Oreochromis niloticus: one gene and its partner. The protein of the gene in region 1 purifies or fractionates together with the protein of each later gene. This does not show direct contact. Links are inferred from orthologs where the notes say so. Each region holds a gene or a part of one and is shown in the gene's direction. Other genes may lie near its edges.

Region 1 (7,718 bases):
TCACCTGACACGCGGACCGGCGGCCGCTTCGGGTCTCTCCTCTTGCCTCCCTTTTCCTTCATCCACCTGCTGGCTTCCACCACTTGCTAATGTTATTGAATCTGTGGAAGCTCCGCGATATCCACCACACGAAGTAACGAATAACGAGCCTATCTAAATCCCAGTAACGAGTAACGCGTTCCTGGTTTTGGCATAATAACTAGTTACCGTGCTCGTTACCACAATAATAACGTAGTTACTGTAACGCGTTACTTAATAACGCGTTAGTCCCAACACTGGTCATCACAGTATTTGGCCTTTAACCTCCTCAAACAAGAGTCTAATTCGCCCTTCTCTTTGTATGTTTGCAATCAATGAGGCAGAGAAAAAAGTGACTCCCGTGAGACTGGCAATTCCTCTGCCAGGTGAAGAAAGACTTCCCGTCTCTAGTTTACCTTACCCTTAGATATTAGCATTAGAATTCAAGTACAAAAATTCTGTACACACAGTAAAATGTGACACTGTAACAGGTGTTGGGAGGGGGGGGCTGAGTAATTTGTTGGGCCATCAGGTCAGCATCACAACTTCAATAAAGAGAAGTAGGAATTGTACAGGAGATGGTAAAGAGATAAGACACTTTTAATGTGACAGTGTTTGACTAAATAGAGCAGTGCACAACATCTAAGTGCAGACAGGACCCAAATGTGAACCGGTTCTGCCTGGGAGTGACAGGATACAGGAAAACAGATGTCACAGACTGAGGAAACCAGTTGTGATTAATCCAACACTGGAACAAGCTTTCCAAAACAGAACACAGAACAGAAATTTCATTTACAATTAGTGTAGGTTATTGTACTGCATATTTAAACTAAATCAATGTGAAGTTTAATATGTACTGTGTTTCACTTAGTTGTCCACATAGGCCTACAATTACAAACGAGCTCAAGGCCTAAATCCAGCATTCTCAGACAACGCTAAAGCTGATCATCCAATAAAAAGCTTTCTTGATATTATTTAAAAATCTTTTTTCTGCATTAAAAGCAAAACAGAAAAGCTCCTCAAAGTAATACATGAAGGAGAAAAAAGCATTTGATGCCTATGCTGTACATTATAACTTACAATCTAACTGTTGGAAGGTGCTGATAATATACTGACGTATCTTTAGAGGCTAAGCATGGTGGGTTTGTCATGCATGTTGTGCAAGAGATAAGACTATGGGGGTTACTAAAATCAAATGAGTAAAATGAGCTGGGGGTATTTCATGGCACTATTTTTACCTGCTGATCCAGTGGGAAAGCCCAAGGAGTGGACTTTTGATTTCAGAGCAATGCATGTTTACATTTTTCCTCTTTTTGGGGCGCATGTGGAAGTTTAATCCTCACAGTAGTAAAAGGAAATAGATTAAAAGGTCATTAAAACATCTAAATGAATTTTGGGAATATGACTACTGGTTTTCATGGAAATCTGCCAAGAGAAGTTGTCATATAAGCAACATATGTAACGAGACAAAAGGTCACCAAATCAATTTAAGTCTTCCTATGAATGCCTATGGAACATTTTCGAGTAATTCACCCAGTAGCTAGTTACTGACATTTTGCCTGGAACGTTTACTGTGAGCAACAAAGTTCAAATTAGTCAGAAGGCACCATGGTTACAAGCAGTATGCAGCATGTCTCTGACCCGTTTTTGTTTAAAAAGTGGGACATAGAAAATCATATTTGTATAAATAAGTACTGAGATGTCTGTGTAAATGCTGAAAATTGGATTTGCGCATATGGATTGAGTGGTTGGATTTGCTCTTGCGTCATCAGTCATATAGGCATTTGTCAAAGCTCCCTTGGAAGTGCACAGAGGAAGTACAGTGCCTTTGGCGTCTGCATTCTTTGAAGATCAGAGCTCTGGAAACTATCATCACTTCCCTTTGTAAGCTTAGCGTGGACCTGTACACACTTGAAAGCACCCACAGATAACTGAGACACACTTACCTCGACCTGGGATTTGAAATGTTGGACCAGTTGCTCAAAAATGACAAAAGCACAAGCTGTAGCTCATTTTCACTGCTGTGATGCTGATAATAGAGCAGCCTAATTTTCATCAAAATGTACAGTCATCTGAACCTGGTTAACAGTGTGTTCCACACATAACTCCATTCCACAGTACTGTCACTAAAATCACTTCACTCATCACTGATCTCCCGTTGGTTAGGCTTGAGAATGCCATTGGCAAAGCTCATATGTGATGTGGTATTTAAGCCGTTTTACCTTGTCTACCGTTACTACTTCCTCTCGGTCTCATGAGTACAAGCAGGCTGTCAGTTATCACACTTCATTTACTCTAATGCTTTCTGTGTCGATCACCATCATCAGGATTCGCAGCATCAGCAAGCTGAAGCAGAAGCAGCAGAAGCCATTTGGAAAGCACTCGGACTGGACGTTGCCAGTCTTGACCAAAATTCAGTCACTATCTAAAACATTAGTGCTATCACGTGCTATTGCAGTCTACACTCGAGTTTGCAATTTGTCACTATTGGTGAAAACTGATTCTACCGTTAAATCATCTTTAATAAATCTTTGTTAGCTATTTTACTTATCTGCCACAAAATGTAAACGAGAAGTCCACTGTTGAGCAGGGTCATGTCAGGGCACGTGTTTCTAAGCAGTTTTTGCAGTGTGGCGTGGCACGCTGTCAGGCTAGTGGTCACTGATTTTGACAAGTGGTATTGTAATGTAGTGGTAACCTTTGGTAGCACGCGTCAAATTAACATAAATGCCAGGCCCTAGCACAACATTGCATTTTAATGATCAGTGTCATTCACTTCGACTGTCAGGTGCTTCAGTGTGGAGACTAACCGGTGTAGGCTGAAGACACAATTCCATTCGTATGGCTCAACCACTTGAAAACTACCGCTTTGTTTGTTTGTACATCTGTTACACCTGCTAGCACACTTTTCAGAGTCTTCCTATGTTAGCTGAAACAAGCAAGTGAAGTCTGTGTTTACAGTGTAATCACTCTTATCGTGTTTGCTGCTTTTACTACTTTCCCTGCCTCAGGCTTTCCATGTATATACATGAAAGGGCAGGAGGTGTGTTTCCCTCTATGTTAGGCTTTTCAAGTATCCATGTAGAATGACGGGGACGTCCAACAAAACAACCAAATGCAAATTGTTGTAGATGAAAAACAGACTAACCTGTATTAGTATATTCGAGTGTCTTTTACATAGACACTACAATGTATAAGTATGAAGTTATTGTTAAGATGCCTAAACAATGAAAATGTTATTTATCTAGCTCTGAAGATTTCACTGTTTGCCTTTTAACTTGTGTAATATAATGTAAATGTACAAAAACATGGGAACAAATTGCATCTTGTGGCTGCTAATTAACTTAAACGTGGGATCAACTTGATCAGAACATTGGAATGTTTATTTAAATAAGAAATAAAGTTGCTGTTCATAAAAAACAAACACATAAACAAATATAAAATAATTTCCATGCTCAAAGATTTAAAAAAAAAAAGCTATACATACTGAAAGTAATTGTGGTAAAACATCCTACTTAGTTGTTGCACAACCAGGTCACAAACCCAAACAAACGTACTGTGGTTTAGGTGCTCTGTAGCTTTCTTATCAGCCACGGTTTGGCTGAAACACAGATAACAAAGTTCTCTGCATCAAAATTTAAATAGTATTTAAGATACATATATTAAAAAAAACAAAACAAACAAACATCCCAGTTTTTTTATGATTTGCACAGAGCTACTTTTAATATATAAATGCAAATTTGTCCTGAATCCTGAAAACATTTTTGTATCTTGATAAGGTATAGCGTGACAGCTTGTCCCTGTCAAACTGGCCACACTAGTGGTGCAGTCCTAGACTAAAATTATGAGGGACTCTTCCCTAGTTTGACTTTTAGACATCTGTACTTGTAGCATTATGTAAATCTAAGTGTTTTCATTCTGTGGTTACAAAAACTAAACGGGCTGTAATATACATTTAAGTATGCGGGCAGTATTTAAGTTCAACAAGTAAAATAGGTCAGAAAAAAATATACATAGTTTTAAAACATTACTTTGACATTAAAACATAAAAAGGTAAAGCAGAAAGCTGAGCCTGTTTTCAATATGAAATATGAGCAATGAGTAAGATCTGTAAAGCAGCTATTACACATTACCCCCCCCCCTCCAAGTAGTTTTGCAGTGCCTAACTTTAAGTAGAGTCTAATTTTAAGCACAGTGTAGACCTTCTAAAACTAATTTCACACTATAAAAAAAAAGATCAATCTAAGGAGTCCTTTACTTTGTTTGCAGTTTTTGTCTCATGCAGCCCTGCAAACACCACTGTAGGGACAGCGTGTTCAAACTCTTGAGAGCTCTCTGCACCCTCCGCAGGCTGGCTGTCTGATTGGCTCAGCACTGACCATGATGTCATCACTGCATGCTATAAGGGCTCTGACAAATAGCCTGGGAGACACATTAGAAGAAACACTGCTCAGCTGAGGGACTGAGTGAGTGAGACACGCGTAGATCAAGTAAAGCAGAAAGTAGCTGGGACATGTGATACTCACTGCTTTGTGGGAACTACCTAAACAGTGACATTTTACTTTGTATGGGAGCCAGGAAACACGACTGCTACCTGTGGAGGTTTGTACTTCTGCTTTTGTCTGGCTTGTTTAGCATGTTTTAAAGCTTGCTTGAAACTAACTGGATATACTGAGTTTATGTATGTGGGTTTTGTGCGGTAAGCTTTGGTCTCCTTTTTCTTTTTTGTTAGTGCTAGATTTAAGTGCATGCATTTTTTTTCATTTTCTTTTGTTGTAATTAGGCAGAATTAAAAAAAAAACGTAATTTGTAAAATTCACTCCTTTTGTTTGTGTGTGTGTGTGTGTGTGTGTGTGTGTGTGTGTGTGTTTTGTTCATATGTGTTCTCTTCAGATGGGAAGTACAACCAACTCAGAGTACACCAATATGACTGCAATGAACTCGTCATCGAATTCAACTGGGACTGATGAAGGTTTCAGTGCCCCTGTAATGATCCTGCTGGGCATGGTCATGTCCTTATTAGTTTTGACTATTGTCTTTGGCAACATCCTGGTCATAACGGCAATTGCCCGCTTTCAGCGTCTCCAGAATGTCACCAACTGTTTCATCACATCGCTTGCCTGTGCCGACCTGGTCATGGGTCTGATTGTGATTCCTTTCGGTGCCTGTAAAATTATCTCTAATAATACGTGGTACTTTGGTAATTTCTGGTGTGACTTCTGGACTGCCACTGATGTGCTCTGCGTGACTGCAAGCATTGAGACCCTCTGTGTCATCGCCATAGACCGTTATTTGGCCATTACTTCTCCCTTCCGCTACCAGTCAATGTTGACCAAGTGCAGAGCTCGCTTTGTGGTGGTGCTGGTCTGGGTGATTGCTGCACTGATATCTTACCTGCCCATCCACATGATGTGGTGGACTGCTGATAATAAGGAAGCTGAAAAGTGTATAAACCAAACTGATTGCTGCGAATTCCACACCAACCAGGCTTATGCCATCACTTCCTCTATCATCTCCTTCTACATCCCTTTGGTCATCATGATTTTTGTCTACAGTCGAGTTTTCCAGGAGGCGAGGCACCAACTAAAAAAGATTGACAAAAGCGTTGGACGTTTTCATAACAGCGACATCAGCAACACTAATTCTCTGGAGGCCAATAATGGGCGTGGCCTTAAAAAGGCGAAGTTTTGCCTTCGGGAACACAAAGCTCTGAAGACTCTGGGCATCATCATGGGGACCTTTACTCTGTGCTGGCTGCCCTTCTTCGTGCTAAACGTGGTGGAGGCTATATGGGCTGTGAACAGCCCGACCACCTTTATGGTACTTAACTGGATAGGTTACGCAAACTCTGCCTTCAACCCACTTATTTACTGTCGGAGCCCTGAATTCTGGTATGCATTCAAGGAAATCCTGTGCATGAAGAGGAACCGCCTCAGCAACCCTGGACCTGTGAATGGATACATCTATAGCAGGCACAGCTGGCAGAGTGAGCAGCAGGGGAGGAGTAAAGGTAACTCAGAAGAGAGTGACCCCACTGAAGGGTTTCTGGGGAAAGGAGCAGGGGTCTGCAGTGTTGTGGACAGAGCAGTGGACCCCAACGGGAATTGCAGCAAAGACATAATGACTGTAACGAGTATAACGACTGTCCTATAAACTTGAAGCACTGAGACTTCTGTCAACAAGGAAATCCAGATATGTTTACATTGCTATTGTAAACTTTTTTTTTAAATGGCTGATGAAGGTAAGGCCAGTCAAAAATGACTGACAGAGTCTCTGGAGACTTTAAAGAAACAATAACTCAGCTGTTCAGCTGAGTAAAGTGTCACTTTTCCTCTTCAAACACAGTGACACAAAACTGTAGGTCTCTCACATTTCCCTTTTGTGTGTGTTTCTTGCATTTTTTTTTTTTTTGAATTTTCACATCTACCTCATCATACCTTTTCAATATTTGCATCTTAGCTGACCATCTGTCACATTAAGTCACTCTCCGCAGGAGTTAAAGTAGGGCAGCATCTCAGCAGTTTATTTACTCTACTAAATGGCCTGTGGATTGTATGACTGCTAATTGTCTGGCTTCAACTGAATTTGTAGCCATGTTGTTTATCTTTGAGCTGGAGAAAGATCCCACAGTTTTTATTAGCATAAAATGTTTCAGAATTTCAAAGGAGAAGCGGTCGGAGGTTGTAAATTTCATCCGAACGTGCCAATTTGGCACAAAGAGCAAAGTAATCAGAGAACGATTGAAGGTGAAGGGTTAAACGTAATACCTCTTCGATGCTTTGCTTCAAGAAACACATTCCAAATTGACCGAGACTATAATCTGGCATCCTTTACTTTGCTCTTTTTTTCTTTAACGATTGTCCAAATCTGAAAAATGATCCAAAGCAGGTGTGGCAAAACCCGTCTCAGTCGCTCTGTTTCACTCCTCAGCAATGTTACGAGGCCCTGTTCCCTTCTATAGTGTATTACAGTCTCTTGCATTTGAGTTTCCATTGCGGGCGGATAGCACTAGAGATATGAAGCTTCACAGTAATCTATGAGTTACTGATGAAACCTAGGTCAAAGTGAGGGTGGTCAAAACTTGCAAGCATGTATATGCTGTCTAAGCCAGATTCCGCTGTCAGGTCAAAAGATATATGTAATCTTTCGGTGCAAAGTGGATGCCATTACAGATAATGCGGTTAATCCTGAGTGTTGACCTTTGAAGCTTGCAGCTGTTATTAACATAAATTCAAAAGTGCACATTTTAAAGTTTGCTATTGCACAGTCAGAACCCATCACTTCTTGCATTCTGTTAAGTGGCCGACTTATGTGCTACATGTGACTCAGTACATTATGGCCATTACGTAAGTGTAAGAAAAACTATTCATCTTTCCTTTTCCTTCTATGCAACAGTTACAGTAGCGCCCTTTGTTGCACAAGCCCTATTTATTTATTAAAATCTGTGGTTGCTCTGTTTCAGCATGTACACTGTTTACTGAAACCAGAGAAGCCATTTCCTTAGTCATGGCACAAGGGTACAAACCACACGTAATAATAAACAGTGTGTCAAAATAGCCAAGCGATAACAAAGTTCCACACCCAAGATGTGGCGGTGGTGAATATTCAGGGTAATAAAGATAGATGAGAGGAAGAAAAAGAAAACAGCCCTGAGTAGCGCACCACTGTCACGGCTCTCTCACAGGTGCCTCCGCCGTTGT
Region 2 (7,785 bases), on another chromosome or scaffold:
ACATGTTTTGATACCATGTGCATAAGAATGCATATTTTTCAAATACTTTTTAACTATTTACCAGATTTGTGGATAATATAAGATTGTTGCAGTTTCACATTTAACTAGGGAACAAGAACTATTATGAGCCAAACTTTTGCCTGGATCATAGGAAATGTTTAATGACTGTTTCACCTGATGGATTTCTGAGTACATCTGAGTTTTCTAGCCAAGAAAAAAAAATACAGACATGTATGACAAGCATGCACCCCAGGTTTCAATCCCAAAACGCTAAAGCCATTGATCTGAGGTGGGAGGTGGGGGTTAATATGAAGTGAATAAATAATTCATTCTTGTAAACCAGGCAGTATGGATATTCTGACAGCTGCTAGGAGCACGTTGAAAAGCATCCTCACCTGTGTCAGGGAGCTGTAGACAGACAGCGGCAAGTCAACCATACGCAGAGCTGCAGTCCTCATGGACAGCTGTGAGCTTGTGAGGGTCTCATGTGTCATTGTGACGCTCTGCCCATGACTTGGCAGCTCCCTTATCCTCAACACCGCTCTGTGCAAGCTGAAGAGGATGACATTAAGGGATTTAACCTTGGAAGCTCAGGAAGGGGATATAATGACACTAATACACAAAGCTGTTGGTATTCTCTATGTACTGCTAGGAATACCTTGCTTAAAGTGAGTGCAGCCAGTTTTAACTGCATAATATATAATTAAAAGTCGGGGGGGAAAAAAGCCTGATAACATGCAAACTTTCATTCTTAAATATCACAAACAAGAGAATTGCCATGAAAGAAAAGCCTGTGAAATGTATCAGATGCAGTGGTGTCAGTTAATTAAAACAAAACAAGTCCAATCTGATCCCAACCCTCTCAGGAACAGCTCATTCTTTGTACATGTAGCCATGGAAAATTAATTTATCTTCATACTATGAATATTTTCCGAGTTAGGAGCCCTCATAACTTGAGTGCAACAGACTGAAACATGACATTCTCAGGGTTGAAAAACACCTTCCAAGCTCGGTTAAAAACAACCACCAAATCACGTTTACACCCAGTCAAAATGTCACAATTTAAGCCAAATACTGCTCACAGATCTAGGCTATAAGGTGAGCCTGTTATCACAATGTAGGTAAGAAGAAGATATTTCATATGATACAACTTGTTTAGGGTGGTCGCCCTTTAAAACTTTAATGCAAAAGAAACTTTCTTCAGTGAAATATCGAAAAAAACGGACAACACATTTGGAGTACTGAGAAGTTGAATTTCTGTACTTTTGCTGTTGAAGCTATGATTTGTTGATTTTGGCTTTAGAGTGTGACACTTTGACTGGGTGCAAAACTGATTCTCTTACAGCTTTTAAAAAGCTGAGAAAGTGTTTCTAAACCTAGAAAGCTTCATGTGTTTATCTCTTGTACTTAATTAGTTATAAGGGCTAAATTCCTGGAATTTTTTAAAAAAACCAACCCGTGTTTACTTTGAGGACTGTAATAATTTTAATAGCATTAAGGTAAAAAACGAAAAATATTTGTATTACTTAATTAAATATGCACACTTCCATCTAACAGCCAAGTCTAAGTCTGCACAAGACACTCACAGCTGAACGATCCAACCATTGAAAGCCAAGCCTGAGCCTCACACAGTGCTCGTTGTTAGTCGTAGATGTTGAAAGTTTGCTTGTGTAAGGGTTATGATGTTTGTCAGAAGTATGAGAGTGCATCTGAGAGCCTGAAACTGCAATAACAGAGGTAAAAAAACCCAAACAAAACAAAACCTTGTGATTTTCTAAACCCCCCCCAACTTAAAAAAGTCTAGGTAAGCAAAGGAAAACTCTTTAATGTTATATAGTTTTAACATAAAAAGCCTTCGAACTCTACATTAATAAGAGTGCGTACGGATTTTCGTTTTTATTTTAATTAATTATTCCTTTATTTCTCATCTATTCTGAATCGACTTGCGTATTATTATATTAATTGTGATATTATTTTTAATGTTAACGGATTTTATCTTCCTCTTCAGTAAGTTTATATAGCAAACAAGACACAATAAGATCCCCCCCACCGCCCCCGAGGAGCATCTAAAGTGTTTTCACTGGGGCAAAACGCTGACACCGGTATGGATAATCACATAAGCACATGGTTAAGAAACGCCAACCCGAATAGCTAACGGCTAACAAGGCTAATAAAGGCTACCGGGGTTAGCTAAATCTATTAAACCAGCTGAAAATAAACACTGTGACAGACAAACTCGAGCTCATCTCTTAGCTGAATGGGACAAACTAAAAGCATACATGAATTCAGCGGTACCTTTTTAATACTCCTCCGCAGACACAGCTCCACTGTTTCACTTAGTCCTCAGGCTGACCTCGGCTGCCGCACAGTGAAGGACTCTAGCACCAGCCTGGATTTTCAAAATAAAAGCACGTTCCCGCTCAACGCGACTGTGGGCTCCTTGCGCCCTCTTGCGGTGTACCTGGATACACTACAGATTACTATGTGTATCTATCAGAAATATTAACAGAAAAATCAAGACAAAGTTTTTGTTTAATTGGAGACTATCTTTTAGTTTACAGACATAAGTGAGAGAGAAAATTACAATAAAGAAAATAAGAAAAATAAAGAGGAAAACAAAGAATCAAACGTTAATTTAAAAAAGTGTGATTTTAATCTTTACAAAATGTACTGAATTCTAAGCCGTGATGGACAAAGTTTCACCATATTCATGTTTTAAATTCGTACAAACAAAATGAATTAGTAATTGATAAACATGAAAATTTTCTTCTTCTTCTTGCTGCTCCCTTCAGGTGTAACCACAGTGGATCAGCCTGCCTCCATCTCATTCCATCCCCTGTCTTCTGTCACAACAACCCTCTACAACTACAAAACTTCCTCTTTTTCGCCTGCCTGGCAGCTCCATGTTCAACATCCTCTTTTTAATGTATCCACTATATTATAAATATATATTATATATAGAAAGGAAAAGCTGTGTCTTTCAAAGTCATCTATCAAAGGAATAAACCCGAGGAACTGGAACAAAAAGGGCTTTTTGTTTATATTGTGTAAACAAAAAGGGCAGAAATGAATAAATGAAAAAAATAAAGAATGATTATCACTGAAATGAGATAAGAAATACTACCAGACCACGACACAAAAATCAGCCTGTTGTTCCAGATCATGCACAGCTGCTCCTCATCAAGACGTGTGGTGGTTGTCTGTGAGGAGGAAGGAATTGTTACTGGAAGCAAATAAGGTCTACTATTGAGGAAAACTTATGCAAATGTGTGTGCAAAGTCTAAAGGTAAAGGTTGGTGCAAAGAACTTGCTGTTAAGACATGATTACTCACCTGTCTTTTCTGTCCTATCCAGGGTGTTTGGGCAAATGTTTCCCTGGGGTCCGGACACCATTTAAAGGTTCTAGGAGAGGCCATGCATTAAAGGAGTGTGTTTTTGGTCTTCCTCACTGTAGATCCAGCTGCAAAAGGCCACCTTGTCACACAGACTCGGGATCATAGATAGAACTTTGGGGCTGATGCCATCAGAGAAAGCAGCCTTGCTCTGGTTTAGTTTCTCCAAATGTATATTAACTTGTTTATTAATTTATTCTTAATGTATTATTTTCTTTGGTATGTGTTTAATCTTTTTTTATTTTTATTTTTTAAGAAATCTGTTCTCATTCATAATATGCTGTGTGAAACATGGTGGTATAATAACTCTCTACCTTTTGGGTTATTATCTTTGCATTGAATCAATTATATAATCATATATTTCTATCACCATGTTTTGCTTTTTGCTATTTTTGTAAAGCTGTAAAATAATAATAACAATCTTCATCATTTACTTGGCCAAAAAGAAGTGGACAGCAACACAGTTGAAATACTTAGCAGTCCAGCTGTATGAGCATCACATTGTAACATAACCGCCCATTAAAGTTTATAATCCATTTATAAGAACATTTTGGGACATTAGATGGTGCCACTGATATAGTGATAGTGGAGCTTTTCTACTGGTGACTCTGGGGTGGATGGATCCCTGCAGAGGGGATTTCTTCACTATGAAAACACTAGATGGCGCTTGGGATGGGTTTATTACAGTGCATGTTGTCTTTAATGATCACCAAATCATTCTTTTTCCTTTATTGCTACCCGTTTTGTCCTTCATGTAAGTGAACTGTAATAAGTTTAAAGACGCTGCTAGTTTTTTCTCTAACAGTCCATAACTGTCCCATCACATCTGATCCTCAATATTGATAAGAGCGGATCACTAGGCTCAAAAGATAATTAATATTTGCTTTTATGTGACTTACTAATTGAATAATCTACAGTGAGGCTATAATGCTGTTAAAAACAAAAAATTATAGACCGTATAGGATTAAAAATCAAACGTGCAGCAGGATGGGGAGGGCTCGTATGTTTTCTTTAAACCGGAAAAGAGGCGGGGACAGCAGTAACGTTAGCAACCACGCTGAGCGACAGGGACGGTTATCGTTAATGTGAAGAAAGGACTGCACTCTAATATGTTTCTCTAAGTACAGACTGAGTTTATGTTGCAGACCGGGAGTACCATCCGATTCACCTGAGAAGCGGCGTCCCTTGGTACCGAGCAGGTAAGGCCGAAGGCTGACGTTGCGGCTGACTGTGCCGTAGTCACTGTGGGATTGTCCCCGATCACAGGAGGCTAACGTTAGCCAGTAAGTTGCGCACGAGACGGCTATCAATGGCGAACCATTTCACCTAAACACTGTCTCTGGAGGGTAATACGTTCACCTTTTGTTGTTTTTCTATGCTCCTTGTGGGTATTACGTCAGATAAAATGCTCTTAGGATGGCCGTTAGCATGCTAAGGTTAACAGCGAAATAGTGCTAGTCAGCCCGTGACGCTGTCAACGCCTCGACTGGTTTTGACAGCTCACTTTGTACAAGGCCGAAGCCACACGCATCTGTAGTATTCACCGTTTTTTTATCTACGTGAGGCTAAACCACCCGCTGCTTTAAACCAGGGTAGTTAAAACATGGCCCTTTTTAACTGAGTTTTTTTTTTTTTTTTTTTTTTAATATTAAGGCCAATGCTACCCATTTGTAGACAGTCTGTTGTTAAAGTGAGCTGTTAAGCTTTACATGCGTTGTTGTTGTTGTTTTTCCGTCTTCCGGTGTTTATTGTGTTGCTGCTTATCATTTCAAAATTTCCCTAAAGATAACAGCTACAGCCACAGCCAGCATCGCTGCTTTCGTTAGTGGTGCGAGGTTCGGGTTAACGCCCCACCCTGACCGCGCCACCCCTTTGTGCACAGTTTAATATCATGTAGTATTGTCACGTTGCTGGCAGAGGCAGTGAAACGGTGCGAAGAAAGGTTTGTTAGCCGAGATACTCTTCCTATCACCAGCTTTACGTAATCTCACGAGGCTTGACAGTGAAACTAGCTTCTAATCAGATTTTCCTGGTGTCTACTACAGAGTTTAAGGTCACTTCAGCTTTTGCAGGGATGGCCGCAAAGTCCAGGCAATTGCGAGGAGCCTGGTAAGATGAACCAAACCTCGCCCTGTTTCACTTTGCAGGGATTTAGTGTTGGTATGAAATGAAATCAGTTTCAAAGGCGTCATTGATTATTAACTTAGACCTAGAGACGGTTTTGATGAGGGGAGGAAGCAGGCTTATTGACTTGCACGTGACTGAACATGAACTTTTCCTATCTCCCAGTCGACCTGTTGTCTTGACCAGATCATGACGCTACAAACACAGACACAGATGCAGGGTTTCTTTTGCATAAATAAACCTTTGGCTTTCCACCTTTACTGTGATAAACATGATGTTAACAACTTTGTTTGAAAATTGCATACACTTCTGTTAATTCTTTTGTCTAACAATATGCAGAGCAATTGTGCTTATGTGCATTGTCCCTCAAAGGCCCACTCTGAGCAGGAAAAACCCTAAAATATTTGCCATCTTCCTACTGTCAAATATAATATCTGATATCTAATGTCAGATATTAAATGGACTATCATTGTTTTCTCACTGCTAAGATGATGGATGAATCAGCAGTTCTAGTTTTGGGGATCACATTTTGTCAGAAATAAACTGATTGCTTTCAATTACTTACGTGAACTCAAAATGTTTACCATCTTCTGCTCAAAGACAGACCTGGAACTAATTGTTTAGTCGCCGAGTATTTTATTATATATTTTTTTGGGTGATTAAAAACAAGAAGACTTAAAATTGAAGAGGAAACATTTATGTGCTACCTGGATAGTAACCCAAGCATTGTCGACCCGTGGTTTTGTGCCCAGAATGGCTATTGGATGATCCGGCCTGGCTTGTAATGATGCATCTACATGTGCATCTTTCTTTCATCTGCCTCGAAGAGTAATATTAGTGCAAACAGCACTTGGAACAAAACACAAAATTGGCTTCATGTCATTAACCACAACACTGACGGATGAGATGGAGCTATGTCCTGTGTGTACTTCTGAGGGTTCCCCCCCCCTCATACTGTTGTTGTTGTCTGTGGGCTGTAAAATGGGGGAAAAAAAAAAAAAAAAAAAAACAATCAGAGAGAGGGAATCACAATGATCAGCTTTCTCTCTTAACCCTGGTTTTCTGCTTCAGGCTCTGTCGACTCTCACTTGACTGCGATTGAGTGCCTCCTGCTTCGGTCAGAGGAATTCCCGATAAAAGTCTATAAAGGATATGGAAAAAAAAGACAACTTTTCTGCAAATAAGCTGAGAGTATTACTGCAGAAAGTCATTTATTTTGTGACTCAGTGAATTAATATTTATTTTGTCACTCAGTGCACTTTCAGCGCAACAGTTATTAAAAACGTGACTGCTACACATTTGAGCTCTGAAATGTTAAACTGGATCTGTAGAAACATTAAAACTAACCCGGTGTGTTTACGCCTGATTCTGTACCACAGCTTAATGATGGAGAGGTAGAAATCACTTAGACTATGGCCAGATCAAAGTGAAATGGAATATTTTTGGTGACAAAGTGTTTTTGTCTGTGTTAAACAAACTTTGGAGGAGATTGGGAGAAATATGAACTTTACTGCAGGCCTTTATTTGATAGTGTAAGTAAGCTGTGACTCAATAGGTTACATGTAAATAGAACAAATTCCCCCAGTAAAGGATCAATATCATCCTTGGACAATGTACACCCAACTGGTCTCTTAGGCCAGTAGATCAAGCTTTTACTGTCTCCCACAAAGTAAAACATTTGATTGTTTTATATACTCCTAGTTTAATACAGAATATAGAATGATTAATAGATTTATAATTTAGATGATTAATTTATATCAGAAAAGGTAGTTCTGGTGTGGCAGGTGAACAGCTGGCTCTTCTCATTTAGACAGACTGTTCAACAAAGGACTTTTACTGGTGTTTTAATGGAAAAATACTGACTGGAAGAAATAAACAAGTCATTAAAAAGAGTTCATTTTAGCAAGGTTTCTTCAGAGGGGAATAAATCAGTGGAAACTAGGGAAGAAGGTGATATAGGTGAACTTCCAAGAAACAACAACAATAATATAACAATAATTTTGATGATACGAGGAAAAAATGCTGGGCAACGTTTCACTGATGCTTGCAGGGAGCAGCATTTATAAGTGTAAGCGAATGAAGAGCATTTTCTATCCCTCTTTTCTAATGAGTTATTGTCAGTGATGACACAGTTTGTTATTCAAAGTGCAAATCTATTGAAACAAAGTGCCAGCGGGATTATAGTGCAGTAATAGTGACACACCATTAGGCAGCATAAATCAAATGTAAGCACAATACTAGCCTAGGGAGATTTTCCTGTGACAAAGCT

The links. The genes of interacting proteins can lie anywhere in the genome.
Region 2: the proteins of adrb2a (region 1) and usp33 purify together in Homo sapiens (affinity purification with western blotting; 3 studies listed by BioGRID and IntAct, with this or other methods). This does not show direct contact. The link is inferred for Oreochromis niloticus from reciprocal best matches to the Homo sapiens genes ADRB2 and USP33.

The regions. Positions count from the first base shown.
Region 1 is NC_031966.2:29,906,316-29,914,033, forward strand, and holds the start of adrb2a (adrenoceptor beta 2, surface a), read left to right. Parts: upstream 1-4,439; 5' UTR 4,440-4,620; intron 4,621-4,911; coding exon 4,912-6,171; 3' UTR 6,172-7,718. UniProt on the Homo sapiens protein: Beta-adrenergic receptors mediate the catecholamine-induced activation of adenylate cyclase through the action of G proteins. The beta-2-adrenergic receptor binds epinephrine with an approximately 30-fold greater affinity than it does norepinephrine.
Region 2 is NC_031982.2:25,335,584-25,343,368, forward strand, and holds the start of usp33 (ubiquitin carboxyl-terminal hydrolase 33), read left to right. Parts: upstream 1-4,402; 5' UTR 4,403-4,591; intron 4,592-7,785. Other genes in the region: miga1 (mitoguardin 1), read right to left, coding at 396-494. UniProt on the Homo sapiens protein: Deubiquitinating enzyme involved in various processes such as centrosome duplication, cellular migration and beta-2 adrenergic receptor/ADRB2 recycling.